2 linked regions of the Zea mays genome follow. The protein of the gene in region 1 binds, or shares a complex with, the protein of each later gene. Links are inferred from orthologs where the notes say so. Each region holds a gene or a part of one and is shown in the gene's direction. Other genes may lie near its edges. The genes, in order: Exosome complex component RRP4 homolog-like and Exosome complex component RRP41 homolog.

Region 1 (16,272 bases):
TTGCAATGTTTGTTTTATTTTCATGCATATCAATTCGTTTCATGTTTTATGGATGAATTCAATTAATTGATGATTTTATTGATGTTAATCAATATAAGGATAGGTAATGGACTGAGGTTGGATGTACAATGTGCCAAGACCACATCCGTTGTATATTCGAAATTTGAGAAGCTTTATTGAAGCGGCCAAAAAGCACGCGAATTTGCGAAAGAGCAAGGAGATATTATGTCTGTGCATCGACTGTGATAATAAGATAGCTTGGAGAGATACAGGAGTAATCCAATCACATCTGCTAAAAAGAGGGTTTAAAAACAATTACACGATATGGTCAGAACATGGTGAGTTGGATCCGTGTGAAGTGCCTGGTAATGACGAGAGAGTTGTCGGAATTTTAGATCTTAAAGTTGATGGTAAAGTGGATAATGTGGATGCTAATCAAGATTTTGAAGAATTTGATTGCGAAGAGATGTTGCGCCATATGGAACCAGAAATGTTGAGTTATGTGGGATCGCAGAAAGGGCTATCTAAAATGGAGGGACTGGAAAGTGCTTCAAAAGAATCTTTATATGATGAATCAAAGGGTTGTGACAAAGAGTTTACTACACTGCGTACAGTTCTAGAACTTCTGAAGTTGAAGGCTAGCGCCGGATGGTCTGATACTAGCTTCACAGATCTTTTGAATTTTCTGTCCCAATTACTACCAAAACCCAACAAACTACCAACAAACACTTATAAAGCGAAGAAGCTTATATCTTCCATAGCTCTGGGTGTGCAAAAAATTCATGCATGTCTGAACCATTGTATTCTGTATCGTGGCGATTTTGAGAACGCATCAAGATGCCCAGTTTGCAATGTCAGTCAATACAAGAAGAGCTACAATCAAGACTGTGTAAAAAAATTCCCGAAGAAAAATAAAAACAAGAAATCCACTATTGGACCTGAAAGTGACGATGACACTTTTGATGACATGGATGGGAAAAAGAAGTCAAAGAACCCAGCTTTGGTGATGTGGTATCTTCCAGTAATTGATCGCTTAAAACGTTTGTTCTCAAATCCTAGGGAGGCTGAGCTTATGCGTTGGCATGCTGAAAATCGCAAGTAGAATAACAAACAGATTCGACACCCTGCTGATGCATCACAATGGAAAATTTTTGATCTTATGTATCCTGAGTTTGCCAAAGAAACCAGAAATGTAAGATTTGCTTTGGGTACAGACGGAATAAATCCATTTGGTGAAAAAAGAAGTGTACATAGCACCTGGCCCGTGACTTTAACGATGTACAACCTTCCATCATGGTTGTGTCACAAAAGAAAGTACATTGTGTTGACTATTCTTATTCAAGGTCCGAAATCAGCTGGTGTTGATATTGATGTGTTCCTAGAACCTCTTATGGAAGATATGACAAAGCTCTGGAATGAAGGAGTTAGAATATGGGATGAGTATTTCCATGAGTATTTCAACTTAAGAGCAATTATATTTGTTACCATCCATGATTCTCCCGGTGGCGCCACACTATCAGGGCAAAAGACTAAAGGAAAGAATGGTTGTGTAGTGTGCGTCGATGGAACTGCTTCCATGTACCTTAAATCATCCAAGAAGTTGGTGTTCATGGGACACAGACGGTTCTTGATGAAGCAGCATAAGTACCGAAAGATGAAAGCGGAATTTAACAATCAACTGGAAAGTGAAGGTGCACCAAAGCCTTATAGTGGGAAACTTGTTTTTAAAATTGTAAAGAACAATCATGTTGTATTCGGAAAGGGAAAAAACAAAGGAGAAAAGAGAAAGAGAACTGACCCTTCAACTTACACAACTTTCAAGAAGCAATCAATTTTTTTCAAGTACCTCCCATACTGGAAGGATATGGAAATTTGCCACATCATTGATTTGATGCATGTAACAAAAAATGTTTTTGACAACATCATTGGAACCTTGCTGGGCATGCCGAGTAAGACAAAAGACGGACTCAAATCACGCAATGATCTAGTAGATCTTCAAATAAGACCGGAACTTCATCCAGTGGATAGTGGCAAAGGGAAGCCTTACCTCCCCCCAGCTAGCTACAACTTGTCAGTTGAGGAGAGAACAAAGATTTGCAAATGTTTGCGTGGGGTCAAAGTGCCCACAGGTTTCTCATCCAATATCAGCAGACTAGTCAGGATGAAGGACTTGTCTCTATTTGGCTACAACTCTCATGACTGCCATGTGATGATGACGGTGTTCCTCCTAATTGCGGTAAGAGCCCTCGAAACAGAGCATGTCAAAGTTGTCATCACACGCTTGTGTTACTTTTTCAATGCGGTTTCACAAAAAGTAATAGCTTTAGAAGACTTGGACTATCTAAAGGCATACATCATCGAGACTATGTGCAAGCTTGAAATGTGTTTTCCTCCATCATTTTTTGATATACAAGTACACCTAATCATACATCTCGTGGATCAGATAAAAATATTAGAGCCACTATATTTACATCATATGTTTCAGTTGGAGCGATACCTGGGATTATTAAAAGGTTATGTGCGAAATCGCGCTCACCCAGAGGGTTCAATCATGGAGGGATACACTACAGAAGAAGTGATTGAGAGCTGTATAGATTACATCAGTGACGGAACAATGATAGGTGTGCCTGTACCTAAACATGAGGGTAAACTATGTGGGAGAGGGAGAATGGGCAAGAAAACTTTTCGCGTTGAGGATTACAAGCTAGTACATTGTGCTCATGGTAGTGTACTACAACATCTCACGATAGCCGAGCCTTACATAGAGGAACACCTGGATGAGCTTCGTAAAGAAAATCAGAACCGCACAGAGGACTGGATCATGAGGGAGCACAAACATCGTTTCAGCGAATGGTTAATGGACAAAAACATCCCATTCGGAGACTCTTTGGAAGAGAAAACAATGAAGAATTTGGCTTCTGGGCCATCGTGTTTTGTGACATCATGGCAAGCATATGACATCAATGGGTACACATTCTACACTAAATCAAAAGACATGAAAAGTGTTGCACAAAATAGCGGTGTTCGTATCGATGCTTTTGACCTACATGGACAGAAGACCACATATTTTGGATTCATAGAGGAAATATGGGAACTTGATTATGGCCCAAGCATGAAAATACCCTTATTTAAGTGCCAATGGGTACAACATCCCGTGGGGGTGATAGTGGATAACTACGGACTCACACTGGTAGACTTAAAGAAAGTAGGATATAAAGATGACATGTGGGTTCTCGCCGAATGTGTTGCACAAGTGTTCTATGTACTCGATCCAGCAGATGAGAAGATGCATGTAGTTATTTCTGGAAAGCAAAAAATTGTTGGAGTTGAGAATGTGGGAGACCAAGATGAGGAATACAATAAGTATGAAGAGATGTTCGTCTTTAACGGTCCAGAGAGAATCAAGCGTGTGGAAAAGAAAATTGATAAGAACTTAAAGCCATACATGCGGAAAAATGGTAGTTCATGAAAAAATGTATGAATCAAATTGTATTTGTTATCATGTATGATCGACTATGAATTGTGGTTGCCAATTAATTTAAAATCTCTCTAGTTATCTATGTGTGCTATTATAATTCATTTAAATTGTATTTGCATATTATTGTTAAAAATTAAATATTAATTCATTTAAATTGTTTTTGCATATTTCTGTTAAAAATTAAATATTAATTCATTTAAATTGTATTTGCATATTTCTGTTAAAAATTTAAATTATTTTCATATTTAAATTGTATTTTCATATTTTTACAATAACAGACGGTTTTTTCTTAGGGTCCGTTTGTGAAAAGGATAGAGCACCACAGGCGGTCCTAAACAAAAACCGCTTGTGATACTATTACATCACAGGTGTACTGAACCGCCTGGGACATCACAAGCGGTTTCTAACCGAACCGCCTGTGATGTAAAAAAGCCTACCGCTTGTATAGAGCCAAATTGTACTAGTGCAAACGGGGCTCACGCCTCCACTCGGATCACCCGTTAACAACTCATCGTAGACACCATGCCCATTGTCCGTCAAGGGTAGCATGGCTCTTTCTCCCTCTTCCTCCTTGCGGAAAGGCGACGAAGACTCATATCATTAAAAAGTCAAGGAGTTCCCTGATCACCCTCTCGCCCTGTGTAGAGGCTCGGGGGCTGCCCTTGCACACATGTTGTGGTAGAACTGTTGGAAAGTCCAGCAACCTAACGAAGAGACTCGGGGCTGCCTTTGCACATAGGCCACGACCATGTGACGAACGAATGACAAGTCAATAATACCTACGGAGGGAAAATAAAGACCTCGAATGAGTCAACCACTCCTTCGAGGCCTCGGGGGCTACACCCGACGGGTGTGCTCGTGCACACCCATCAGAAATAAGTCTACCATATCTTTAGGGTTAAGCAACATACCTACACAAAGACGGAAAAACCCCAAGCAAGTGCCAACACTTCCTTGGAGGCTCGGGGGACACGCATCCGAGCCCCATACCCTGGCCTCGGCTCTCTGCTCGGTCAAAGATGCAAATACAGGGATCAAACATCCTCCTCCTGGCTCAAGTCAACAACAAGTACAAAGGCCATACCAAATACCATACCGGCTACAGCCTATAGGGGCTCAAACACATCTCCGCTCCCATACGCGACAAACCATGGCGCTCGTGGAGGCCCTCCTTGAGGCTATAAATAGAGGAGCCCAGGGCTTCACTAGGGGGGGCACTTCACAATTTTTCACCTCCACAACTGATATTGACACTTGCCTCAATCACGAGGGATTTGTGAACTTCTCCATCTCCCGACGGACTTGTATCCCTTACTACAGACACTTAGGTACAAGTAATATAAGTTTCATCCCTCTTTGCTATAAGTAGGGTCTTCTTCTGCCCGAACTATGATAAAGATTTGTGTCTTCTTGCACCACTATGAGGGCTTGTGCACGCAACACTAATCTCTACAATAGTAACTTTGAGTATATTCTTGAGACGCCAATATGGCCACGTATTGGCAAAACAAGGAATCATAGGATAGAGCCTTAACGGTAGATCGTGAGAATAGAAGATGGCCACATAACTACCAAAAAAATAAAAAAGAAAGGAACCGGCTATAGAACTTCCTTGGCTTACCACGGGTACACCGTACACCTCCTAGAAATATCCTTGGCCTTATAAACAATAAAAAAGAAAGACCATACGATTAATTAGGAAGAGTCGTTTGTTTCTTTCAGCATGGCCTCATAAACAATAAAAAAATGGATCATACGAAGAGCCACCGCTTGCTTCTTTCAGTAGAGACACAACTATTTGAAGAGCCGCTTGCTGTTACACATCAGGCGAAGGCAAAGGTAACAAAAAAAATGGTTTCCATCTGCGGTAGCTACGCGACCGTGGAGGAGAGCGCCGCCTGTTTATACTTTATACACCTCGACGATCTCGGTGCCCGCTCCCAAATGCTAATAGTTTCCTCTGGGGTGTGATTAAAATTTGATTTCTTCTCTGTTCAGTTCAAGCTAGGGTTAACACTTTTTAATGGGATGATTCAAAACTAATAGTTGCCTTCTTTTTCCCCACTAGATCTGCTCTAGGCTCTAGCTGATGCAGTTCCAACTTGCTGCTACATATATTTTTTCTAAACATTTCTCCCTACTTATCTAACTTCCTACATGCGACACTTTGCTCTTGCTGTTGCCTATCTTTCTCAATTTTATCGTGATAGTTGTGTGGTTCCCTGTCGCTCTCTCCTCTACGCAGATTAGTAAAGGGAAAAAGAACGATAAAATAAAGCACCTAGATTGAACATGATAGCTCACAGATTTATATATTGCATAACAACTGTAAGAGTATATGCTTTATAGTGCCTTTCGGATTGTGTAAATTCAAAAAGCCTTATTCACGTGCGTATATAGATGTTATAAAGAATTAATTAGAGAAGTGGTTATTTTTTGTATTTTAATGTGATTTCTATTTATGATCTGTTCCTGATTTTTTAATTATTATTTCAATCACGACTCTAATATTGAAATGTTAATGTGGATTCTCATTCTAAAGTCTGCAGTATGTGGCCTTTTTAAGTATCGTGTTTATGAGTAGAATCAGTTCATATACAATACGATTAATATCAGCACACAGATTATAGCAATAACGCTACATCTTTTGAGCTATATATAAGCATATAGCTATGGTATCAATCTTATGTTATAAACCAACACAATATAAGTATTGAACTCGAGCATCTTTTTGTTAATATTTTACAAATAAGCTACTAAGGTGGCACTGGAATATCTTAACTAGTACTACAACGCGGCGCGCCGTTTTCTAGTTCACTGGTCGGTAGGATTCTCGGATCAAAATACCGACAGAACTCCTTTCAAGGTTTCACCTTTATCCCATGGTCGGAGAAATTCTTTGTAAAATTAACTCCTAGAATCAGATACAAGATGGATATCCAGATTTAAAAGCGCCACGCCTATTTAAGGGTATGTTTGACAGGACTCTGGTTTGTCCCAACATAGATCTAGCTCTAGTTTTTTTTCTTCTAAAAAAGCAGGTTTTTGGTAGAGCTGAAGCCATTTCGTAAATCGTTTGGCATAAATGATATATCCCAGAGCAAGAGCCATTTCCCTGTATTAAACTGCCAGAGCCAGAGCTAGTGAAGTTACTATTTGTTTTTCTTTTCCGCAGTACAGAAATTAGCTAGCGAACAAATAGCTAGCTAAGTATTAAATAATTTGCTAAATATAACTAATAGCTCAATTATTAGTTAGTCTATTTAAAAGTCTTTAGCTGATTTTAGCAGCTAATTATTAGCTCTAACATATTCAAACACTTTCTATATTTAATACTTATAGTTATTATTTAAATATTTGATAGGGTAGAAACTAATCTACAGAAATATGTGTTTATACCTATCGAAACTAGAATTGCTGTGAAGGTGTTTAAATTTTATGTCGTTCTTTTTTTTTGGCGCCAGCCCGCTGGCGGCCGCGCCCCATACCGTGCTCTGGGCCGCTGCGTGGGTTGTGTCGGTCCATAGCCCAGTTGGCGCCGGGTCGGGTTTTGCTAGGGTTTACTGCTTGTCTTCCTTTCTCGGCAGTCGGCACCTTCGCGGCTTCGCCTGATCGCCTACGCCGCTTCGTCCTGATTCTGATTCTCTGGTGCTCCCAAGAAGAAAGTCAGGGAATGAAGGACCGCCACCTCTCGCTGAACCAGACCCAGCGGGTCCGCCTCGAGGCCGCGCTTCAAGAGCTCCAGTCCGTTGCGCCCGCCGCCGTGTCCGCCGCCGCCGTCACCGTCGCGGACACCATTCCCGTCAATCAAGAGGACAACATCCTCAAGTACAGAGCCTCCCTCACACACACTCTCTCTCTCTCTCTCTCTCTGTTTCTTTCTTCCCCTTCCTGTCCATCCGTAAGCAGCCGATGGGTGGGTGCTCGTGGCGCAGGGGGCATGGGACGTCGGACCAGGACGGGGAGGTGGTTGCGACGCTCTGCGGGGTGGTGGAGCGGGTCAACAAGCTGGTCTACGTCCGCACTCTTCGCGCGAGGTACGCGCGCGGCTCTGATCTGTTACTCTCCAATGGCGTACCTATTCCTCTGCAAACTGTGGATGAATTCGGTCCTGGATTTTTATCAATGCGGGCAAATACACTGAATTGTGTTGTGAACTTGTTATGCTGAATTTAGTGTTTGGTTGATATTTAGCCTGCAAAATCTAGGTTGTTTTTCCTGGATTCGTATATTTGGTGAATAATATTACAAAGCCTATATTTCTTGGCGCTGAAGTAGGTTTACTTGATCTTATTCCCCACACTTATTCATGTTTTTTGTTGAGAAAAATGAACTCACAAGAAAAAAAAACTTAGCCCATTTTGTTCTCTTTGACCCCTCTTCAGATACAAGCCGGAGGTTGGTGATATCATAGTTGGCCGTGTGATTGAGGTGTGTAAATTCATGCTCATTTTTTTTTGCAATACTTGGATGTTCTACATTTAATTGGCATAGAGTTTTTGATCATGAAATCCAGAACATTTTTCCATGTTTTATAAAGTGCAGATATGATAATGTGTTTGCCCAGAGACTGCATAGATCAAACTTATTTTACCTGTATGTCGGTTAAGTTCGTAGGCCGTAGCTCTGACTAATTATAGGTGTTTAATGACCAATGGCCTTTGATGCATGTCCATTCGGCGATCAGAGTAATTAAGCAAGTTTGAATCTTATAGCAGTCATGTTTGTCACTCAAGAATTGAACATTATTTTCTTTATGGTGCAAACAACATACTGCATTTTATACCACAATTAATTGGTTTGTGTTTCTCAAGATTGCTCCTAAGCGATGGAGGTTGGAGATAAATTTTAGCCAAGATGCTGTTCTGATGCTTTCATCTATGAACTTGCCTGATGGTATTCAGGTGCGCTTTTCTGCTTTGCCCTGTAACTCCTTAAAATTGAACAGGGCGACAGGCTATAAACAGTTTGTTTCATATATCATTCTGGAGGATAGATAATACTGAACACTTAGCGGTAAGCACCATCTAAAGTTTTGAGCACAGCATAATCTCTACCATCAGTATGTGCAAGTGCAACACATTAGACAATAGACACCAAGAAATTATTCTATTTCCATGTTTGCTAAAATTATGTAGTGCAAACAGTCTTAATGTTGTGTCAGCTCAAAAGAATTAATGAGTTTTTTATCCTGATTCCCAAGTTCATTACTAATTACACTAGCAATTCCTTGTCCAATATCCAATTAACTACTTTTTCCAATGCCTCTACTAGAGAAGGAGAACTGCTGTTGATGAACTTAATATGCGGAGTATCTTTGAAGAAAATGATGTTATCTGTGTAAGTGTGATACTTGCTCTATTTATTTCAAGCAGTTATTTTGTCTTAGAGCTGGAGTCAACATTTGGGTATAGTGACTTCAAATCTGTTTTTACTTAGGGTGTTGTGCTGACACTTTTTTGCTTCTGTATGACTGCATCTATAATGCCAGCACCACCACCCACAAAGAATGCATGATCAATGTTGCAGTGCCCAATTTTTGTCATTATTATATGTCAAGGAATCATCTTATTTGCTTGCGCTTCCCTGTTTGCAAATGCCTAAGTCCTGGAGCAACTGCTGGTGTTGTTTGTTTGTTGCTTGAGGTTGATGGCATTTTGAGGAATCATTTTTACACTGTTCATTTGTTGATACATTCCATTGTTAATAATCCTGAGGCTTCCGCAAGCTTCAAGGCGCTACTTAAACATCTTTATGGTTTGCTTTTCTATCATACAGTTGAAATTCACCTGACAGTATTTCAACATGAATCTGGCATTCATATTCACTCGACTAGTCTTATAAAGAATGATGCAAGGCACAGTTACCATTGATTGTTCATCTTTGTTAACCATGTTTGCACACCTACACTAGATCTTTCTTATTTGCATAGAAGCCATATGTGTTGTGGACTTGTATGAAAGGACTTCTTTTGTGCTTTCCTCACCTTTCTTCTCTCATGTTGACAAGTTGCAATGTTTTTCCCGCTCATTTCTTAATTCTTGCATTCATCCCCAAGGAACTTTTGTGGCCTCTATCTTTTTATAGTCTGGTGGGCAATCTCTTCCCCCCACCCACACTGTTATGCAAACTGTTTTAAAATAGTATGCTTCTATTTTGCTTGCAATCCATTACCAGGCTGAAGTTCGAGGCTTCCAACATGATGGATCTCTGCACCTACAGGCAAGGAGTGAAAAGTATGGAAAGGTACATGCCAGCTTAGATGACATTATTTGTGCTACTGTACCATTGTACTATTATCAGTATGTCCCTTTTAATGCCTCCAATTTAGCCTTTTGTTATCTGTAAAAGGTAGATGCCTTTAATGTGATTGCAGAAATGGTCTGTGTATATCATTTGGTGCAACAATGCAAGGGAGACTCATGGATGTTTCATAGATGCGCCTTAACCTGCCATGCCTTTAGTCTTTATTATGTTGATGATATCTTAAGTTGGTCTATGATTTGTACGTGTCTGGTCTAGTTAAAGTCTTGTCCTACCCAAAAAAACTATTGCTTTCTGAGACCCATTAGGTTGATGCTGATATGTTTTTTTTGGGGGGGGGGGGGGGTTCTGATTTATTGATGCAGCTGGAGAGGGGTCAATTGCTGATGGTAGCTCCATATTTGGTTAAACGAAAGAAGCAGCATTTTCATCATCTTGAAAAGTACAATGTCGACTTGATTCTTGGTTGCAATGGATTCATCTGGGCTGGTGAGCATGTTGTGGTGGGTGAAAAACCAAAAACGACAGGAGGTCAGCAGGGGTTCAGCACTGAAGCTGAGAATTTCACCCCATTAGAGACAAGGAAGCATATTTGCCGGCTTGCCAATTCTGTACGTGTGCTCTCAGCCCTAGGATTCACTCTGACCGTCGAACTGATAATCGAAACCATGGAAGCAAGTGCGTCATCAAATGTAGAGATAAATGACATGCTCGGGGCTGAGTTTTACGTCCAGACAGCAGAGAGGGAGGCTAAGCGCCGGGCTGATCTGTTGAGAAAGAAGAATGACGCAAGGTGAGTAGGTAGCGCCCTCGTCATTGCTGATTGGGGCTGCCTGATTTGCGGAGAACAGAGCCTGACACGTTGCGTTGCTCCATCCGCATGAGATCTGTAGCAGTGCCATAATACTTATCTGATGGTATCTAAGGCAAAATTAGTTAACATGTTCTATGTACACCTTTACGGGTAGCAATTAGCAAAGATGTAAGGGGTTCTCTCTGCTCTGATGCTGTACATGCATTTGATCATGGTGTCTGGTGCCGGCAGTGTTGTGCCTGGCAGGTCCGCAGGTCTTTGATCCGTTCGTTGCTGAAGTCGATGCACTTCTGAGTTGAAAAACTGGACGTTCTTCCTATTGAATATTCCAGTAACATGAATTATGTTGCCTGAGAAATGTGCAAGGCATTAGCCTGATGGCTATATGAACAATTCATTTAGCCACTCTATAAAGTTGTCACCACAGGGTGTGGAAATCACCAACGCTTTGTGAAAACCTTATCAAGAAGCATTTATATGAGTGCCTGCCTTGGAGTCGAGTTTCAAGTGACCAATTTACACGAGTGCCTTGCCGTCAACAAATCTGGAGTTACTGATCAGGTAGCACCGCGAATACGATCCTTCCAGATATCGGACACAGCGCATAAGGTCGAATCTAGGGATGGCAAGCAGCGGGTCGGGTAAAGTGCGGGTAAGCCATTTACCCGCCCGTCAACATATCCGCGCCTCTAGTGCTTACCTGTGCCCGTGAAAGCTTGCGGATAAAATTTTTGACCCGTACTCACAGGATATCCGCAGATATCGAGCAACCTATTACCGCTAGAAAATATCATACAAGTATGTGGTCATGTTCATTTCACCAAGAACATCAACTTGACAAACATAATATAATGGCAAGGAACATAGTCCACAAACATGATCGATCATCTACAAATATAAATCTCAAACATAAGTCCACAAACATGATCGACTGGGCTGTGTCCTGTGGGCCGGTGGTATAGGGATATTTTGATGGACTAGTAAATTAAGCGGGTAACAGGTAATACCTGCCGGTAAAATTTTATATCCGTCACTTATCCGCGGGTGAGAAGTGTTGCCCGTATCCTTACCCGTGGACGAGATTTTTTATTCGTATCCATGTCCATCGGGTATGAAACCCGTGAATATCCGTGCCCGCGGGCAGAATTGACATCCCTAGTCGAATCGAGCGTCATGCGTGCGGTCTGTGGATGACGGACGGTAGACCCAAATAAATTACTGTCTTCGTGTTGACAAACACGATATAGAGATATGTGACTGCAACATATTAGAGCTTGTTCTATTTTATTTTATTTTAGTCTCGGAAACTAAAACTAAAAATTAAAATAAATTAAAATAAAATAAATGGATAAAAAATTAGTTTCTAGAAACTAAACACTCTCTTATGAGGTGTTTGGTTTAATGAATCACTCTATTCAAAATGAAGTGGTGTATCATGGGTCCATTCCTTAAATTTGGTGGGATGACTCCATTCCACATATTAGTACTAAACAACTAACTTTGAGGAATAAGGTGGTGATAGATTAACTCACTCCATTCCACAAATCAAACAAAAATTTGAAGAGTGAGAAGATGATTGACTACCTCGTTCCTCAAACCAAACACACCATTAATTTTTGCAACATCACCATATTTCCTAGGAAACATAACATAAAAATGTCGCGATTCTAGGAAACATAGCAGAAAATGGTACTCCATTTATTCTTTTTATTTACTAGTGTATTTTGCGCGCCCTTGCGCGCGTGCTGGGTCCATTAACATGGTTTAATGTAAAGAAAGTGTACATGAACATGTATAAGAGTTGTTATGAAGCAAATAAGCATACGGAAACATGCTATGACGTAAGCAAAAGTTGTTGCTTTGCTCTTTTGTGTTTTTTTGTCGGATAAGGCGCCACATGCTTACGAAATTTATAGCTGAATTTGGTTGCTAACCGCATTTGTAATATCAAATGAAATTACAATATATATCAAGTAGCATTTAAGCAGTGTACTCCAATATGCAGTAACAGTGTGTTTCTAGAGGTTGCATAAGTCAATACAGTTTTAGAAATGCTCCAACAGTTGGTTCATATGTACACAAAAGGCTTTTATATTAAAAAGTGATGGAGCTCTTCTAATGCTTGCAAAAAACCAATACCTGTACATACATGAGAAAAGGAGTAAGATTATTTAGGCTGAAAGTGTGTTAAATATGTAACAGGTACAAAGGAGAATAAGAGGAAAACATGAGGATAGTATGCAAAGGATTTTAGACGGTGTTATACCTTCGAGTGCTTCGTGGTGGGCTAGTCGTCTTCATTTTTTGAACCCATAGAATATGGTAGCTCTTTGTTAAGTTGGGTATGCTTCATCTTGTATGCATTGTTATTGTATCAGTATGGAATAGAAGTTGCGGCTGTGAAATTGATGAGTAGACGTTGTTCTCATTTTCTAAGTAATATCTTGTAACACTTACTTTTTTGGAGGCGATGGTAGCTCGAGCTTGGTCAGCTGATCCATGTCTTTGTAGATGACTTGTGAACGATAAGATAAACATTGCTATCTTACTATGGTAGTCCAAAGTGGGAGAGCACTTTTGTGCCGAAGAATTTGTAGGTGTTTAACTTGGAAAACATGTTTTTATCATTTGTTGTAGAGACATTAACAGTATACAGATATCTATCTTCATTAGTATATATAGAAGTTAAGCATGTAAGTACACTGAATTTACCTCTGCACTGCATGGCACATCGGAATATGCTAGAACACATCGAGCCTATTGAATATATTTCATTAGGTTGTATATCTAAGAGTTGATTTGTTAAAGTTACAAATATTTTTAAATAAGAAGCTCTGTACTGTGTTCTGTACACGAAATCACACTTTAAACTAGCAAGCGTGCATAATGCAGTATATTGGTGGAACACATAGACACACTGGTAAGTATCCTAGGCCGAACAGGACATCAAACATTAATCTATTAGTGAACAACCAGCACGAAGGAAAGTAGATCAAAACTAATGCTAATTACCTCAGCAACCAAGCCTCGCCGATAAAGCCACTGAGGTGCAGAGGTATCACTCCACGTGCTTCGATAAAAGAGCAGAAACAAACAGTACATATAAGACGCGGAGCATTTAAACTTAGTTCAAGAAAAGTAACTGTAAAATCACTACGCGCCATGTAGCAGACAACCAGTGCGAATGGAAGCAGCTTAAAACTATAATCAATTGATTCAATTCTTTTGTAGCCACAAAGGATTCTAGCAATTTATGTGGAACACATAATCAACTCTTTTTACACATCAATAGCAATTTAAAGTGATAAAGAATCAACAACTTGATGGTGTAAAAAACATACCTTTTATGTACCCTAAACCCAAATTTGTAAAAGTTCCAGTGAGACATGCCCCGGGGGGGGTGCTGTGGAAAAAAAGAACAACTAATCCTAGATGTGGAAGTAAATCGAACAGCAAGTAGCTGAAAGAATTTGTTTCCTTCTTTTTTACTCGTTTCTTTCCTATGTCCTTTTCTGTAATATAAACAGTAATCCTTAAATTTGGCCTAAAAACCATACTTTGGATAATGGACAACAGGGAATAAGTAGCAAACATTTCCTTACCGTATTGAAAATCGTGGAAAAAGGGTCAAAATCTCGAAGTGAGAGCATGTGGATGAAAATGTGGCTGCGATCTAATATATAAGTAGCAAACATTTCCTTACCATATTGAAAATAACTGTGAATTCAAACTAAGTTGGGCATAATCGAGTGGGATTGAAAACAGGAACAGAGGAAAAGCAGGGAACCGAAACCAGTGTGGGTAAAACCAAACAAAATAGGACAGAAAAGAACTCTTCAAGGTAAAGAAGTTTTAAAAAATATACGTGGGGAACAACGGATTGACCAACCACAAATTTGTAACAGATCATGTGAAGCATGTGCCGGGGACCAAAAAAGGAAAAGGACTACACAAAATAAGACGAACATATTCAAGGTTTGAACTACAAGAACCAGGGATTAAATCAAACACTACTTTGGGAACCTCGAATCCCCTTCGGGATTGGAGGGGATTTGAGTTTCCAAACTAGCCCCAAGTAACAGGGAGGATTTTTTTTTGCCTTGCTTTCCTTACTTTTTCCTGTTACATTAATCCTCAACCTCAAATTTGGGGGAGAAATCGAACAGATTCAAGACTTGAAGTACATGAACCAGGGATTAAATGGAACAACAAGTAACAGTGAGGTTTTTTTCCCTAAACACCAAGTAACAGGGAGGATTTTTTGTCTTGCTTTCCTTACTTTTTCCCTTTGCTATAACATTAGTCCCGAACTTCAAATTTGGGGGAGAAACCAAACAAATTCAAGGCTTGAAGTACAAGAACCAGGGATTAAATCGAACAACAAGTAACAGTGAGGGTTTTTTTCATTGGTATCCTTCCTTTTTCCTTTGTAACATAAACCCTAAACCTTAAATTTGGGGGAGAAATCGTAGCTTGGATAACAGACACAAGGGAGTCAGCAGCAAAGAGCACTAACCGTAACAAAAGTCGGGGAAAAATGAAGTCATTTTGCTGGAGGCGGGGCGATTGACCTTTTACGCCGAAGACACTAGAAGACGGAGACGAAAAGCGGTTGTAGTTTAAGGCGATGAACAAATCCAAAAATCTAAGCGACTGGCAAATCTAGCTGAAGGAACTAGATCTGGTAGAAGCACAAAGCATCAGGGACAAAGAAAACAAACCTTTTTCATAGCCTGACAAAAACAACGGTAGACGAAGCAGGTTGCAGATGAAGACGGAGGGTGTAAATTGAAGAGCAGGGATTTATGGGCCACGGAATCCATCGATCCAAAAAGAATGCAATGAGGTTCCCTATATTTTCAAGGGAAAATGAAATTGCAAAACACTAAAATAACAAAGTCTACACATCGTAGATTCAAGAGCAGAGAGAAACAGTGGGAGGGAAGCGGAATGTTGAATTGACCCCCAAAAAAGAGTGGTCATTTTTGGCGTGTATTTTCCAAATAAAGCTGACTAGATAAAAATGCACAAATCTAGCTGTGGCAAGCCTTTCCACATCTCACATTGAAGTGCAGGGAAGATTAAAATGTGTAAATATATAAGGAAGCAAGAGGAACTTAGAAACCCCAATGAAACAAGCAGCAACTCGACGAGGAAGTGGAGCTGACGAAGAAAGCGATGGATATCACCAAACACTGGAGCAGACGATGAAGGCGACAATAAACGACGTGACTGTGCTGAAGTGAAGTGGACGATCAAAGCGGCAGAAGGTGAAGCAGCTGGCAGAGAGACGAAGGGACTCAGAGAGAGACGAGGCGGAGGGAGCGAGGAGAGGCATGCACTGCACGGGCCAACCATGGAAGTCTCGAGAAGCGGAAGGAGCGAGAAGAGCATATTCCACACGCCACCGATACAGCGATGAATAGAAGCCATTGATTCACAATCCAACGGTGTGAAGAATTTTTGGCGACGTGGATAGCCTCATAGAGGCCATTTCTGTCCTGCTTTAATAATAAAGAAATTGCGTTTTAGTTTAAAAATATACTAGCTGACGATAAATATTCGAGACAGAGGTAATACAATACTAATAAAAACCTTTAAATCAAATTTAAAATAAATTACTCTCATCATCATCATCATAAAATATACATACGTGGCATCGAAAAACATATTTGGATCATATTCTCTAGATAGGAAGAGTTTATCTTTTATTATC
Region 2 (16,290 bases), on another chromosome or scaffold:
AACCACTTCCTAAATGTTGCTCCTTTTCTGTCGACCGCGGGCAGTCCTCGCTCCTGGTCCGGACGGTCCGCCCCTGTACATCACCGACTGGAATCGCAACGGTCAGCAGTAACGGCTATATCAACGACTACAAGTGCATTAAATGTGTCGTCAGATATCAGACAGTGCAGTCGCGGATGGTCTAGTTGTGCACCCTGAACGGTCCGCGAGGACGCTAAAAATTCATTTTACCGAACCCGTCACCTTCAGGTTTTTCTGGATTTTTCAACGGTCGGACGGTCTGCGCCTGAGGCCGGACGGTCCGTGCTTGGTCCCGAACGGTGCATGATTTTCCTTCGGACAGTCAGTAGTGTTAACACTTGTTTTTGCAGTGTTCCTGTCCGAGGCTTTCCCTGGTGTCGCGGACGGTTCGCCGCAAGGGCCAGGACGGTCCGCGCTCAGGAGAATTTCCAAAACACTTCTCTTGTCCGAAATAATCGATGGTATTTCAAATAGTTGACTTAGAATTGATGTATATGAACTTTATGCACCTAAGAAATGATCACTAGGCAAACTAGTTAGTCCATAAGATTTGTGATGGTCGTCAAACACCAAAATCGATTATAGTAAATAGTTGAGGCTATTTCCCTTTGAGAAACATCCTCTAAAGCTACTCGTACAAGTAGGAGGACAGAGTCCTTTGGCGGCTCATCGATCACTGGTCTACCCAAAAGCCGCGGAATACGCTCGCCGAAGCCGGTCGAAATTGCGGTTGCTGCTACGGGCGTGCGCAGGTCGTTCCTCTGATCCTCTCACATGTGAGGTGGTAATGGATTATGATCCAAATGTCTTTTCATTATTTGTTTATTGACCTCCTAAAATTTAATTTAAAAATGAATAAAAATAGAGTCTGATCCTAATATGATCTTGATTCGATCTGATTCTTAAATTTTATAGTGTAAAATTAGAGCTCATTATCACCCGTACTCGCATCACATGCCATGCCGGATGAACTGGAGAGTTCTTTTTAGGCCTGAGCCACGAGTTCGATTTTTGGAGGCAGTGTTACAAACCACAAGTCGTGTTAGATCGTATCGAACATATCACTCATATGGTCACCCAAAACATTGTTTTACACTGTAAAATACGTTGTTTGTCAAGTGTAGTTTGAATGTGGGTATAGAAATAGATAAGTTGTTGTATATAGCCTTACATGTTACATTTTGGTGTGGATAGCGTACACTTTTAAGAGCATTTGTTGGCGTATGGAGACCCACTGAAGCTTCCTGGAATGAATGCTTGACCGGCAAGCTACCTGGCATCATAATCATAACTCATAAAAAAAACGCCCCCTAAGAAAATTTTGGTTCTTTCGGGTAATTAGGTTAACCGAGGTTGAAAACCAAATTAACCAATTTTTGGTTTAGGTTTCTGTCCTAGATCTTCCGTTTGGCTTTTAACATTTGGTTCACTGTGTTCAGCCCTAGCCATGAGATTGAGTTTAACCCCATGTCTTGTTACCCTATAAGCTAAAATTTAGCTCTTGTTATATCAAATATTTAAATGGTAATTACGGATATTAAATATAGTCTAATTATAAAACTAATTATATAGATGAAGACTAAAAGATGATACAAATTTACTAAACTTAATTAAGTCCATATTTCATACTCCTAATTAATATTCAAACGTATGATGTGACACGTACTAAATTTTAGTCAGGGGAACCAAACACAACCCATGGTAGTGGGCTAGGCACCAACATAAGTAGTTCATATACTAGCATTTAGCATATGGTTACTAGTAGATGTCCCGCCATCTATCATTTGGCTTTCATACCCTACGTCCTATCAACTCTAGTTGGATCTCATTTGTGGTTTAATAAATTTCACATCCGTAGATTAAAAGAAAAATAGAGTAGTGCATATTCAAGAGTATTGAACTAAATAAATGTTAGGGATCATTCTTTTAATATATAAGCTACACAATCTTGCCTAATTCAAAATCCATGGGAAAGACACTATTTGCTACAATAGTTTCAAAAAAATCCCATGGGGTTGTTAGTTATAATTCATTAGAATTATTGCACATATTATTGTCCAAATATACATGGATTTCAAAGGATCGTGGGGAAATCAAAATATAGTGAACATGGTGATGCAAACATTTATTACTTGATATATCAAAATAAGAATGGGACGCTTGGCCATTATTTCAGTCTCCATATACACTATTAATCTCCTTTATTTATCCAAAATACATAACCACATTTATTGCACTAGATATATCTAGGTATATGTTGATATTTATATTTATTAGATCAATCTAACTTACAAGGGACCACACTATCTACAAATATACAATGCATGAATAAAAGATCTCATATGAATATATGCATTTATGAGGAGAAAAAAAGATTGCAAGAAATAAATTATGAACATTTACTTCATAGCAATATATATGCATGGTGCCACTATATTACGGAGGTCCTCAAGACCACAAGTGAAAATAGTATTGGGGAGCATACTTTTCTAATTATTGTTGTGTATGTATCAAAAGTCTTCCCTCTACTTGTAGATTTGCTTTTGCATATACAATACATGCTAACTTATATCTTTTGCATATGATTTGATATATGTAGGCGCAAATGGATAAAAATAGTTCAAGTGATTGCAACAAAGAGGAAGAAATAGCCTCGTCTTTGCCTAAGAAGCGTAGAAGGATTGCTAAAAGCACCCCTACCAAGCCAAAGGAAAGAAAAAGAGGGTTTGGGATTGCCAAGCTAGAAAGGATGAGAATAGAAGAGGAAATAAAAGAGTATTTTGAAGACACCCATAGTCCGTCACCAATTCATAGAGTTGGCATCCAAGGCTTGGTAAGCACAATTGTAAGGATATTATCCATTCGTGTGATTTTTACTATAGCATTGTGTCTTATATCATGTCATGGATTACCTTCTTTTCTTTGAAGCACATTTATGAGAATTGACATATATATAATGATTGTTATATTATTTTGCTTATGCTACTTCTTCATTTATCTACCAACAACTTTGTATTTTTTGGCATTATGTGAATATGTATGTATCACTACAACAAGGATCTTCTTGCATGCATTTTAGGTAAAAGGTACCCATCACAGAAACTATTTTATCGGAGAAAATCATCATATGTGACAATGACACATATATTCTAAGGCTAGCATACATCATAATTAGAGATAGAAATGGTATTTTTCAAGGCTAGATGATTTTGTTATAGATTTTTGGTATTAAGGAAAGGGGTTGAAATGTTGCCCCACTACCCATTGAGGTCTTATTACTAGCCTTGTATTCATGCTTCAATGCAATGCCCAAATATTTCGAACTTTGCGTTGTATGAGCCTTCTATTGTTACATCTATTCAAACCTAAAAGCGCCATTTTTATAAACTTGTACAAACTTTGCATGTGCAATACCAATAACATTTCTCCCTTACTATGATGACCTTAGCATTGTATACAATGGTGTCTCCTATGTGGATCACGATTGGACCTCTTCTATTTATTGTAGATGATGTATGGAACAAGAAGAGAAGAGATGAGTGAACGGTTCAAGATTCCTATGATAAGGTCATCTTATGTCAATCCAAACAGCATGATTCCTACACAACTGCATCTCTTTGAAGCACCTAATCATATGGTATGTATTTTGCTCTTGGTCCTTATTTGTCTAGACCAAATTTAAACCATCATTTTCGGTAGAATTATTATGAAATATTTGTGCAATATTTTTTCCTACCATGGGTAGCTTTATGAAATATATGTTCAATGATATATGCACAACACTAAGAAAAAATGCCCCTTAACACTGAATTACTCGAAAGTCCTAGACAGTGAACATGTGCATGGTATTCAAATACATAGGCTATCAAGCTTAGTGATAATGGGTGTGTTCTAACTTCTAATATTTATAGGAATATGATCATATTGACATGAAAAGGAAGGACGATGGGAACCTATTGGAGGAGTCCACCAGCAAGAACTTCAATTATGACCCACAAGAACTTGATCTTGACTTGAAGCTATAATCCTAGAACTCATAGAAGTGTCTAGTCCAATCATTCAATATGATGGTGGTTCCAACATTTTACAAAGTGAAATTGTATGAGTTTGATGCATGGTCTTGAATTTGAGAACCAATATTGGTTCTATAAACTAATAAATAATATGTGATCAAATAGATCAAGGATTGTTCCCTTACCCTGAATCATAAGACTACATATTCTTGATTAAATTGATTAAATAGTATATTTAATAATTTATCTGGTTGCAATTTTTTGCTATGAAGCAATTAAATGTGTGTTTCATGTCATGAAAAAGTAAGATTTTGGAATATAATACTTCTTTATTGATATATGATGTGAATAAAATTCTTTGATAGAAATAGAGAAATGTGACAAGTGTGTTGCATGATAAATATTTTAGGCATTTTTTAAAAATAAAGAATATTATTCTTTATTTGTTGTATAATATATTTCGAGGTTCTTTAAGAATGTCATGTAGCTTTATAGTTAGCAAATGGTGACATTGGTTGTTATTGTTGCATGATAACATTAAGGTATAAAGAGTACTAAAAAGATAGTTTATAGAGAGAGGGGGTATAGGTCGACGGTCATGCCGAATCTAAGCACAACTAGGATCCAACACATGGATAATTAGAAAGGTTTATACCATAGTGCATGTAATACCCTATGTTCTCTTGCTAATTGATTGATGAACATAATGATGAATATTACACGCTCATACATAACCGAGTATCAAGACCTTCTAGCTCCCCTCACTTCTTGGTTACGATGGAGGTTATAGCCTAATGGTCCCAATCCACCTTTATGCTTGCCCTATATGGAGAGTGAATTCTACCAACTTTGAATCGACCTTGGAAGAACCTGTGAATCCCTTGGGTCTAACCCTTTATCAATCTTGAATCACAGGGTCTTACCCTTTATCGTCCTTCAGTCCCTAGGTCTAACTCTTTATCGATCTTGGATCCCTCTAAGGGCTTGTTCAAGTAGGAGGGGATTGTAGGAGATTAAATCCCTTTCTATTCAAAATTGAATAGAAGGAGATTTAATCCCCCTCAACCTCCTTCAATCCCTATGCAACCGAAGAAGGCCTAAATGTTACTTTGCCCCTCCTTTTATAGTGTAAGGGAGGAGAGATGTTACATGGACCTCGAATTCCACTGACTAAAGCCCAAATGTTTCGTCCTTATCATGTTCTTGGATTCATACTCAAGGTCATGCCTTTGGTCATGGCATATTGTCAAAGATGTCCTTTAGTAGTCTCATGACATACCTATCGTAGGGGAGGTTATGAATGTCATATCCACGGACATCGAGCCCATGTTATTTAGTAAGATGTAGTTGGCAGTAAGTGTAACCTTCCATACTTGATAATTCTTTATGGTACATCTACATGCGTATGTGTGGCGACATGGTCAATGCAGATACTATATAGTGGTCTCGAGTACCCTACAACCTAAGTCATGGCAACACCGCGCTTTTCAGGGCTGTAATGGCGCACATCACACCTAATACTTATTCAATAAACAACCGCTATAGACTTATTAGAAGACCTTTTAATTGGGGGTCTCGACCTCAGGGTTGTAATGTCCTTAGTGGGTCTAGACACATCCTTCAGCCTTATGACAGGATTGTACTTAGTTCGCATCAAGTCCCTTGTTCCCACAAGGCTTTGGGTCTCAAAGGGTTTAGAGCATGTTCGCTCACATAATGAGAGGGTGAGGACCTTAGAGCAACTCCAGTAGTTCTCTAATAGACTTCCTAAATCAACAATTTAAGTAGTTAACACAAAAACTCATCTCCAACAGTTCTCTAAATGAACTTTCTAAATTTAACAACTTCTCATCTAACCTTATTTCATCTCTACATTTGGCAATCGTTTAGCAACTCCCTAAACAAAAATGTTTGCTGCATTATGTAGATAATGAAGGTAATTGATGACATTTGTGACTTTTATTTTTTTATGTGGATAGATACAAAACAAAACTACAACCTATATTTAGAGAACTATTGGAGAACTCACATTTTTTACTCCCAAAGTTATTTAGCAACTTCTTAAATCTGTGATTTAGAGAGCTAAAATTTACATAACTATTGGAGTTGCTCTTAGAGCATCTCCAATAACTCCCCAAAAGTCTCCCCTAAATCCAATTTTTTTGAAAAAACACAAAAATGTGTCTCCAACGGTTCCCCTAAAGCGCTCCCAACATTTTTATAGCCCTTAAAACTCTCTCATTTGTAGCTACAAATGAGGAGTTTTTTGGCTCTCCAGAAACAATCTGTCGCTTTAATGGATCTATTGGAGAAATGATTAAAATCTACCCCCACTAATTATTTAGATGTCCCTTAAAACTGATTTTGAGGAGTCGTTTTCTGGAGAGCTATTAGAGATGCTCTTAGGGACCTTGGGACCAGCAGAGAGCCCCCAAACATCTAAGTGGTGTTAAGTGTTCGATGTTCCGAGTGATGAGTTGTTCTGAGCACTTGAATCCTTCGGAGCAAATGGGACCCAAGAGGCACTAAGGACAAGGGGAGGCCCTAAGGCATCAGAGGCCCTAGGGCCTAGTGGGTCCCGGTCCCTTAGTAGCACTTTACGAGACTTTATGGTGTATGTTCTTTTATGGTGTCTCGATGTCAAGTTAATCGATGTCACAACATTTCCAATACAATTGGCTATGGAATTGGACCTCCATTTTCATGAACACAATTCAAGCGTACACCCAAACAGACCTGAATAGAGTTGGGCTTGGGGACTCTGAATAGAGTTGGGCTTGGGTAGTTGAGATCCAAATTTCCGCCTTCAGGCTCGACAAAAAAAAGGCTCGGGTGACAGGGACACCGCGGGTGCAGGCCTCCAGGGGCACGGCGATGGGACAGCACGACTCTCTTCTCTGAGAAAACCCAACAAAAACCCTCGCTCGCCTCACTTGTTCGCTCACCTCGGTGCGGCGCGTCGTTCGGACACGGAGATACAGCGGCGATTCCGGCGATGGAGTACGTGAACCCCCTCACCGGCTTCCGCGTCGACGGCCGCCGCCCCAACGAGGTGATGCATCCTCGCCCGCTTTCCCCTACGCGCGGTTCACGCGAACAGCCCTATCTCACCCGGTGCTGGACATCACGCAGATGCGGCAACTCAAGGGCGAGGTCGGCGTCGTTGCGCGCGCAGACGGGTGAGTTAAGAATCTCTCCCGACTCTGATGGACTGGGTTGAAACGAACAGCTAGCTATTCGATAAGGGTTGGGACGGCGGTACGGTGCTCACTTTTGATCGGTTCTGCTGGTGTTTGTTGCTCTGCGCAGGTCGGCGCTGTTCGAGATGGGCAACACCAGAGTCATCGCCGCCGTCTACGGCCCGCGAGAGGTGATTCCCGTTATCCTACTTGTGTATCTCGGTGTCCACCAGAGTCATGTGCACTGCGTGTTTGAGGAAATGCCTCTTAGAGGGGGTTTCCATTTACTCGTGTACTATATGGTCGGTCGAATTCTCTGAACCAACATCGACTTTGATCTAATCTTCAGTAGTTTTTCCTAGTGAAATTGGGGATCATTTGGAAAAACTGACTTGCCTATTGTTTAAATTTTCTATATGCATGAACAGTGTGAAAACCACTAGGATCCATACTGGCCTATTGCCAGTAGCACATTATTTGTTTATACGTACACAATGTTCATTCCTGAGATGTACTGGAGAACTTGGAATTATGGAGATTTCAATCACTCATGTTCTTTACTTCCTGTCAGACTACTAAACACCAGGGGGCTTCACCTTCTATTGCTTTGTTGTACCTTCAATTTACTTTTCAGTGTAACCAAATAACAAGTTCATGCTCTTTGATTGCTCTTTCAGGTTCAGAACAAAGGTCAGCAAGTAAACAGCAAGGAGGCTTTGGTAAAGTTTCACTCCTCCAAGTGCATTATTTTGTTAGAGGCTGTTCTTTGTGCTGTGTTCCTGAGGGAGTTCTGTATGCAGGTTCGTTGTGAGTACAGGATGGCAGAGTTTAGTACAGGAGATCGGAGGAGAAAACCGAAGGGTGACAGGTACTTTCCAACTTGAACACAGTAAAATTTGATTAAAAGAAAAGTCCATCCTTGGGCATTCACAGCATTTGGTTCACTTACTATCAGGAAAGATTTCCGATGTTGCAAATGTGTTTTATTTCTCTACCTTATCAACAAGCTTCTTTTCTCTGAATCCTGTGTTTTTGGGATCACAATTGACTTTCCCAATACAGTAAACAATCCTCAGTGAATGTATGGGTGTCAGATGTTTTTGTAACAGTATAATAGTTGTGGATGGCTTTGTAGGCCTCACATGCCAATCTCTTTCTATTTACTATATTAAGCATCAGTTTCCACGGTTCCACGGTTTTTTACTGTCGTCGTGCTCCCCCACATTTAAATCGAAAAAGATAAAATTATGCACAAATGAGAATTTGAACTATGGTTGCTGGCTCCAAACTCACATTCACACCCACCTAGCCAAAGAACACACATGTCTTTGTGTTTTATACTCTATACTCAAGCATAAATGAAAATTGTAGCAACTTACGGGCACTTTGCTAGTGTCACTGGAAGCCTGACATGTTCATCCATCCCAGTGTGCAGTGTCCAAGGTTATTAAAACGATAAAACGTTGAAACACTCATGGGTGAAGTTTTGACTTTTAAACGTTTAGACAACATAGGAAAAATACCAATATATCATAATTTCAGACAATAACATGAAATTAAATACCAAAACAGAGAGGTTTATGGATTACCAAAACTTCACCCATGAGCTGGATTGGACCCCAAAAGTAACTAACAGACTGGACCCAAAAGTAGCTAATGGTCTAAAACGCATGAAACACTGCGTTTTACAGTTTAGAACACCAAAATACGGTTTCAACCTCTAATTAGAATTTTGACGTTTAAACTACGTTTAAACGTAGTTTTAATAACACTGGCAGTGTTGACAGCTGTAACAGATGATTAGTCATGAGATTGGTGATTGGTTTGTTTTGTTTCTTCTTAGGAAATTTAGCATGTTTGTTAGATTGGTTTCTTAGGCACTGAGATCTCAAAGGCATCGTCTATTGAGTTTGTCAAGCAAACAGCTCTCCCTAATTCATCTAACCTGGTTTCCGCCTCTTGAGAGGGTGAACTTGCCTCTAACTATATTTGCCTAATTTTTCAGTTCCAAGCCATATCAGTAATATAAGTCGTGTTCAGTACCTTGATCTTATCCGTTTCTTAGTCCCTTTCTCTTTTTGTTCCTTTTTCTCCCTTTGTGTTGTACTTATGAACTTATTTTTCTCTATGTTCTAATATATTAATCTTTAGGGGTGTGACGCTCCTGTTTCCATAAAAAAAATAGGCCATGGTTAAGACCAGGAATTTCATGAGTAGCATCCGGTGTAACAAACAGTGTTGCATTTCTGCAGTATAATTTAGTTGACTTGCTTTAGTTGCTGTTGGGGTGAACACCTAGTGTGCAAAATCGATATAAGCTGCATGAACTGTAGTGAACTTAAGTGGATTCAGCTTGAAGGTACATGGTGTTTCATATCCCATATAACTATGATACTGAACTAACACTACAATCATCTTACAGGCGATCAACAGAAATTTCTCTTGTTATTCGACAGACAATGGAGGCAAGCATATTAACACATTTAATGCCACACTCACAGGTCGGTCCTTTGAAAAACTTCAGTTTTATATGATATCAGGGCCAACTTCCAATGCTTATTATACTTTTTTGCAGATTGATATATATGTCCAAGTTCTTCAAGCTGATGGTGGTAGGTGTTCTGCTTTCCTACTTTCTGATTGTTGAAGTTGCTTCCAGGCGTATTCACTCTCAGAACCTCTATTATTTATTCTGGAACAAAGTTTGTTTTTTGTTATGTACTAAAATGAGGTCAAGGAAGAGCATTTTTCCCGTGGCCTGAGTAGATCTAGATTTATGGTTTGCATGATGAGACAATCTGGGAAATGTAACCAATTATGTTGTGTGCCTTTTATACTTAGCTACATTACCCAATATAGCATATTATTCTTTGCTATCTTAGTCTATTACTACTCATGCTAAAGACGACATGTTTAGTAGATAAGTGTTGCCGAAGTACTTATGTTTTGTTGGATCTGTGGCCATACAAAAATGGATCGAGTCCGAAGCGACGATATACGTGATAGGCTAGTGGTAGAACCAATTGAAGAAAAGCTTATCTAACATCGGTTAAGATGGTTTGGGCATGTCAAACGGAGAACTCCATATACACTACTGCGTAAGGGGATTCTAAGGAGCGATAGTAATGAGAAGAGAGGAAGGAGAAGACCGAAGTTGACATGGAAAGAGGCGGTAAAAAGGGGCTTGAAAGGATGGGATATATCCAAAGATCTAGCCTTGTGTAAGGAGTGCATGACAAACAACTATACATGTACCCGAACCATGACTTGTGGTTTCTATTGGGTTTTAACTCTAGCATACCCCAACAAGCTTGGGATAAAAGTCTTTGTTGTTGTATGACATATTATTCTTTTGCTTCTTGAAAATAATTTAACATATATTATCCAGTCATGCTATAGCATATTATTCTTTCGCTTCTTGGAAATAATTTAACCATAATTTGTGCTTCAAGATTATTGTCATGTTGACCATGACCATGTGTACAACAGGAACAAGGTCAGCTTGCATAAATGCTGCAACACTAGCTCTTGCAGATGCTGGGATTCCAATGCGAGACATTGCCACATCATGTAGTGCTGGTTATCTGTGTTCTACTCCTTTGCTCGGTAAGACACCTTCCTAATTTTCATATCTTTAACAGTAATCTTATGGTATAAATAAAAGTCAAACAATTCTAATGTACTATGCCAGATCTGAATTACCTCGAAGACAGTGCTGGGGGTTCTGATGTCACTGTTGGCATTCTTGCAAAGATGGACAAAGTGACTTTGCTTCAGGTAGAAAGATCATGAATCACATTCTTGCCGCCTCAATTCTCTGTCTCTAGGCGCAATCGTATTATATGCTTCAGTTTTGCTCTCTTGTGAAATACTTCCTTTGTGTTTGATTTCTGCATAGTATTATTCTTTTGTTAGCATCAGAAGGAAGCAGCTTAAAAAAATGCCTTTTTCAGATGGATGCAAAATTACCAATTGATACATTTGAAAATGTAATGGGACTTGCAATAGAAGGGTGCAAAGCAATTGCAACTTACATCCGAGAGGTAAACAAGTTTTTGTTGATCTTCCGTTACTTGTTTTGTTTTCTGTTTGCATGGACTTAGGACCTGCCATTGACACGTTGGAACTTCTGGGTTGTTGACTATCGTTCTGGAACAGGTGCTATTGGAGAATACAAAGAAGCTTGAGTGTCAGCGTGGTTAACCTTAGGAGGTGAATCCCACTTGCCCAGTCTGTTCTACGCTTGAAGTCTGGCTGGCGGGGTAAAACTAACTGTATTGTTCTACGGTTTATCTCCGTACAAGGCAGTGCAGGCAGGTTGATGACCTGAACCTACCCAACAACGGACATCACACAGCCCATTAAAAGGCTTACTGGTTGTGGTTGTGGGTGGCTGGCTCTAGTGCAGTGCACAGGAACTTCCAACGGAGTATGTGCAAGTCGTCAGAAGTTGTTCAAGGCAGCTTGTTTGTCATCATCACCAGGGATACAAGACATGCTTCCTCAGTAAGGTGTTATCGGAATTTTTCGGTTCCTGTAAACTGATATAAATCGATGGTGGAACTGTACTGATAATCTTCCGTATGGTGTTATTGGAATTTGTGTGACAGTTCCTGTAAACTAATGCAGAGAGAGAGATCCAGCGGGGCTCCTGCCTCCTAAATCACTCCCTCCCAGATTGTGGGGTTTTTGTAGAAGCATTTGCGGGCGTGCCGTAGTGCTACACTACTTCGTTATTGCCTCCACCCCCAAACAGCACCAACGAAAACACGGGGAGATCCGAGACCCTACTGAAACTGATAAATTGAAGGCGACGATGTATTGCTAACTCTCCGTAAGCTGTTACTAGATTTTTTTTTTTTGTGTGGCAGTGCCTGTAAAAGGGCCTACAAAACCCCTCCCTTGCTAGTTCACAGCCACCTTGTGCTTATCCTTGGATCTGGAGTCCTCAAGACTTCTGTCTCTGATCAGTGTCACTCTTTGGCCGCTGCTTTCCTCGCCTCCGGGAGCTGGACCTTGCCGGCGCTGGAAAAGGTGGGGGCGGACTTGAGTTGTCATATATACTCTAAAAATTCTCAGTTTAACCTAACTAATCCGGTAACCACTGAAATTGCACAATCGATGCTACCCACAACGAACAGAACAACTCTCAGTTTTTTTTTGCACGCCAGAATCTTGCCTCTGCATCATCAGCGCTTGGATACCAACCCGACAGCTGTGAAGAGGATGAGTGAGCGGTCGTCTTTTAGCCACTGTCAATCGTTCACTCTTCAAAATGCTGTTCGGTCCGAATAATGGCTAACGATATGTGACCTCTAACTAGAGTTTTGATGAACACTGCTTTTAATTGACCACCAGAATAAAAAAAACACACATCCAGATGACAAAGTAAAGACCTTTAAAGTATGACGGAACTGATTACAGAACCGAGCTTCTAGCAATTAGATACTGCGAACTCATGCATTTCATCACACTAAGTGAATGACACAGCAGTGTACATGGCAAACCCGATTAAGCCGTCTTCTTCTTCTTCGATTTGAGCATCACAAGGCCCACAAACACGCTCAAGAACGAAAGGAGAACCACGCCGGCCAGTACCGGTATCAAAATCGCATACTCTTGAGGCAGGAAGTACTTGTGCACAAAGTGGTCGCTGTCGACAAATGGCTAGGTAGGAACAAGATATAACCATTTAGAAACGAAGTCATAGTAGTTCTACTTGGTCTGAAACTGAGGGGGGGTGGGGAGCTTGGAAGCCACTAACCAAAATGATGACCCAGAATGTGTAGTATGTAAATAAGGTTAAGCTTGTCAGAGTCAGCAGAAAACCGACCGCCTTATCACCCAGTTCCATTTGTCTGAAAAAAAAAACAGTAGCCATTAGATACCTTGTCAGAGCTATCAAATGGCAGACGGATGGTTGTCACAATCCAAAGCAGAAAGAAGTTGTTCCATGGCGGTCACTTCACTGTTTTGGCAGTACATGTACACCCCAAACGAGTGCAAGAGAACAACAACAACAACAACAAAGTTTTTTTGTCCCAAGCACGTTGGGGGTAGGTTAGAGATGAAATCCCATATGAAAACCTCAGAGCTCAACCCCAAAGAAAAGAAAAGGGAGACAAAGACGAAGGAGAACCGAAAAACGATGAAACGGGGAAACACATAAATAAAAAGAGATAAAACCCACAAAAACCAGCAAGATCTAAAGGGGCGCAAGAAAAGGTCAAACGAGGACAAGCGAAATTACAATAAAAAGAAAATAACAGTTAAAACAGAATAATAGAAGTTTAATAGCACTCAGTATACTGGATATGCTGCAGTTCCTAGTGCACTGCCATATCCACGCAAAATGATAGTAAACATAAATCCGATATTACAAATTTAGAATAGCGACGCCACTAGGCCCGACTGTTACAAGTGCAAAGCATCAAATACAACAAGTACAGTGTTTCCAACAAGTGCAATTCATCTTGGCTGGACAGCATTTTTCTATTTACGTTACTTTCACATGTTATTAGCTTAAAGTTCAGGAGTTCTTTCCCGCATATTGAAATCTGGTTTTTAAATAAATGAGGTTTAGGACATGCCTTGTCCTAAACATCATATATTTAAAAACCAGAGTAGTGCGTTTTTCCATCAAACATGCAGGAGCAAGGTTTTAAAGTCGTCCGACTAATCACGATTAGTCTGCCTTATCGCTAGTCCGAGCTCAATCAGGGTCTCCGACTCGACTAGAGCAACTAGGTAGCGATTAGTCGTCTTAGTCGCCGACTAATCGCAATTAGTCGTCCGACTAGGGGCTATGGTCGACCAGTTATGCCTGTTTTGGGCCACTAATCCGGCCTCTGTTAGGCTCCGTTCGGTTGTGCCCAACCAGGCCGGGTTCGGTCTGGATTGGGGGGCAATCCAGGTTGAAATCCGACCCCAGTAGAAATCCCGGTTTCTAATTTTTTTTTATGTTCGTTTAAGCCCACTAGAATTTTAGCCCATAGGTTTGGAAATTTTTTTGGCTAGAGAAGGTACTGGATTGGAGCCACGACCCGAAGGGCCTGGAAACAAATCCGAAGCGGGTGACACGAAGAAGAGCAGCGGCGGCGCAAGCGAGAGATGAGATGCTGCTGAGCGGCGGTGGCGCAAGCGAGAGACGAGGTGCTGCTGAGCGTCAGCGGCGACGGCAACATCTTCCCCGCCGCTAGCAAACTCTACTGCACCGGCAAGCTTCTCTCCGGTTGGTCCCTCTCACTTTAGCTAGGGTTCTTGAACTAGAGTCATTTCTTTCTTGATCCTGATGTTCATGGTACTGGTGGTGGCTCCGAATCCACCGACGGGGATGGGGGAGGGGCCATGGGTGCAGGCAGTGGGGCAGCCCGGGGCCACGGTTGGCGTGAGGCCATGAGCACCTCATAGTTTCCTTTTCGAATCGATATGTTCCCTTTCTGATTTCTGCCGGCAGGCGGCGACGTGGGGCAGAAGACCAAGGCGGCTGCGACCACCGGCATGAGGAAGGTGAAAGAGGGAATGTCGCAGGGGTTCCAATGGATCAAGGACAAGTGCCATCACGGCGGCGGCAAGAAGCAGCAGGGCTCCGAGGCCCCTAGGTACTACTGACCCCTGTCCTTATCGCATTAGCATTGTTGCTCGGCTTCAACACGCTGTCTGCTGCTTCCGGTAGACAGCAAATTCTTTTTTTGGTGCTTGCTATTGGTATGAATAGTATACTGCATATAGGTTGTGGGCCGGTGATCCGATATTGGTGGTGTTGCAGTTGTAGAGTAAGTTTCTTCGTACCTGATGTGTGTCGTAGCTACTGAATTGACCACTTCAATGTATATAAAATGATATTTATGCACTTATATTTCTCTGCTCATATTTTTCATCTAAATGAAGGACGATACTTATATTTCTCTGCTCAGATTTTTCATCTAGATGGAGCCCTTTTCCTGTCTCATTTGGGTACCCTCAGTAGTCTAATAAACTAATATTTTTTAGGATAATAGGATGACAATTTCTTGTATACCACTGTAATCTTGTACTATGTCCATTCTGCTACACTCTCCTCCATACATCTTATGCTTGGCAATTGGAAGCAACCAGCCAGAAAATGAACTACCCAATTGCTCATCCACTTTGAGGCATATATGTTTATAAGGCTCACAGAGTAACCAACTATAGCCAGCTGAGGAATCTAGGGATGTATGCATTCTCTATAATGTATTCTCTATACTATAATAGTGTAATGAGATTACTGAAACCAACATACTATTGAATTTATCAAGTAAAATGTAAAGTTTGGAAAAAAATATTTACATTGACTTCATATGTCAATTTTGTTAATATTATATTATCTACTGGTATAACCTAGTCTCTAGAGACTCCAAAAAACATTCAAAATTCATTACTAGATCGTTGTCATGGAAATGGTGCAATAGCAAGCAAAAGATTGCATGACAAGCAAATGTTGATTTTTAATTGCATGACAAGCAAATGCTGAGCATGAAAAAAACATTTGCACTTATTAACCACAATGATTGTTTCTGTTTTCTACTACTGCATGTACACTTGGAAATTAGCAGCAATGCCTATTATATACTTGTCCATCTATTGTTGTGTTATTGCTTCACATTTTTTCTATTGCAGCTTGCTTTGGTTTATTGTGCATATTCATTCATTTGTCTCATGGTGTTCCAGGGTCCAAGGATAAGAGAGAGAAATTCAAGTCATGTCATGCCAGTTGATACATCATTAGGCTTGGTAGAGTTTGAAAGCAATTGTTTGATAAAAATCTGATCATTGGATGTTGATGTTTGTTTTTATGTCCGTTTTTTAAATATATGTATTGAGAATCATGACATGCATGTTTAAATTTAGTGAGAGATACAATTGTATTTTCTATGTTTAAATTTTGTACAATTGTATTTTCTATGTTTAAACTTTGTTAGGTTTTATTAGCTTTTGTTGGTTTTCAAGTTTAGAATTTGATCCACATGGAATAAACGAACAAACATAGTTGATTGGGTTTTAGGATATAATTCATATGGAATAAAAGAACAATATTGGTTGTTTGGGTTTAGAGA

What was found.
Region 2: Exosome complex component RRP4 homolog-like (region 1) and Exosome complex component RRP41 homolog share a complex: the UniProt entries of both Arabidopsis thaliana proteins name them as parts of the RNA exosome complex. The link is inferred for Zea mays from reciprocal best matches to the Arabidopsis thaliana genes RRP4 and RRP41.

What each region holds. Positions count from the first base shown.
Region 1 is NC_050097.1:3,985,531-4,001,802, reverse strand, and holds Exosome complex component RRP4 homolog-like, read left to right. Parts: upstream 1-7,071; 5' UTR 7,072-7,151; coding exon 7,152-7,306; intron 7,307-7,413; coding exon 7,414-7,515; intron 7,516-7,863; coding exon 7,864-7,909; intron 7,910-8,292; coding exon 8,293-8,382; intron 8,383-8,752; coding exon 8,753-8,818; intron 8,819-9,655; coding exon 9,656-9,724; intron 9,725-10,107; coding exon 10,108-10,539; 3' UTR 10,540-10,907; downstream 10,908-16,272. UniProt on the Arabidopsis thaliana protein: Non-catalytic component of the RNA exosome complex which has 3'->5' exoribonuclease activity and participates in a multitude of cellular RNA processing, maturation and degradation events.
Region 2 is NC_050103.1:68,996,912-69,013,201, reverse strand, and holds Exosome complex component RRP41 homolog, read left to right. Parts: upstream 1-6,974; 5' UTR 6,975-7,029; coding exon 7,030-7,086; intron 7,087-7,166; coding exon 7,167-7,213; intron 7,214-7,343; coding exon 7,344-7,404; intron 7,405-7,890; coding exon 7,891-7,932; intron 7,933-8,013; coding exon 8,014-8,081; intron 8,082-9,635; coding exon 9,636-9,714; intron 9,715-9,788; coding exon 9,789-9,825; intron 9,826-10,702; coding exon 10,703-10,819; intron 10,820-10,904; coding exon 10,905-10,990; intron 10,991-11,166; coding exon 11,167-11,256; intron 11,257-11,371; coding exon 11,372-11,416; 3' UTR 11,417-11,873; downstream 11,874-16,290. UniProt on the Arabidopsis thaliana protein: Non-catalytic component of the RNA exosome complex which has 3'->5' exoribonuclease activity and participates in a multitude of cellular RNA processing, maturation and degradation events.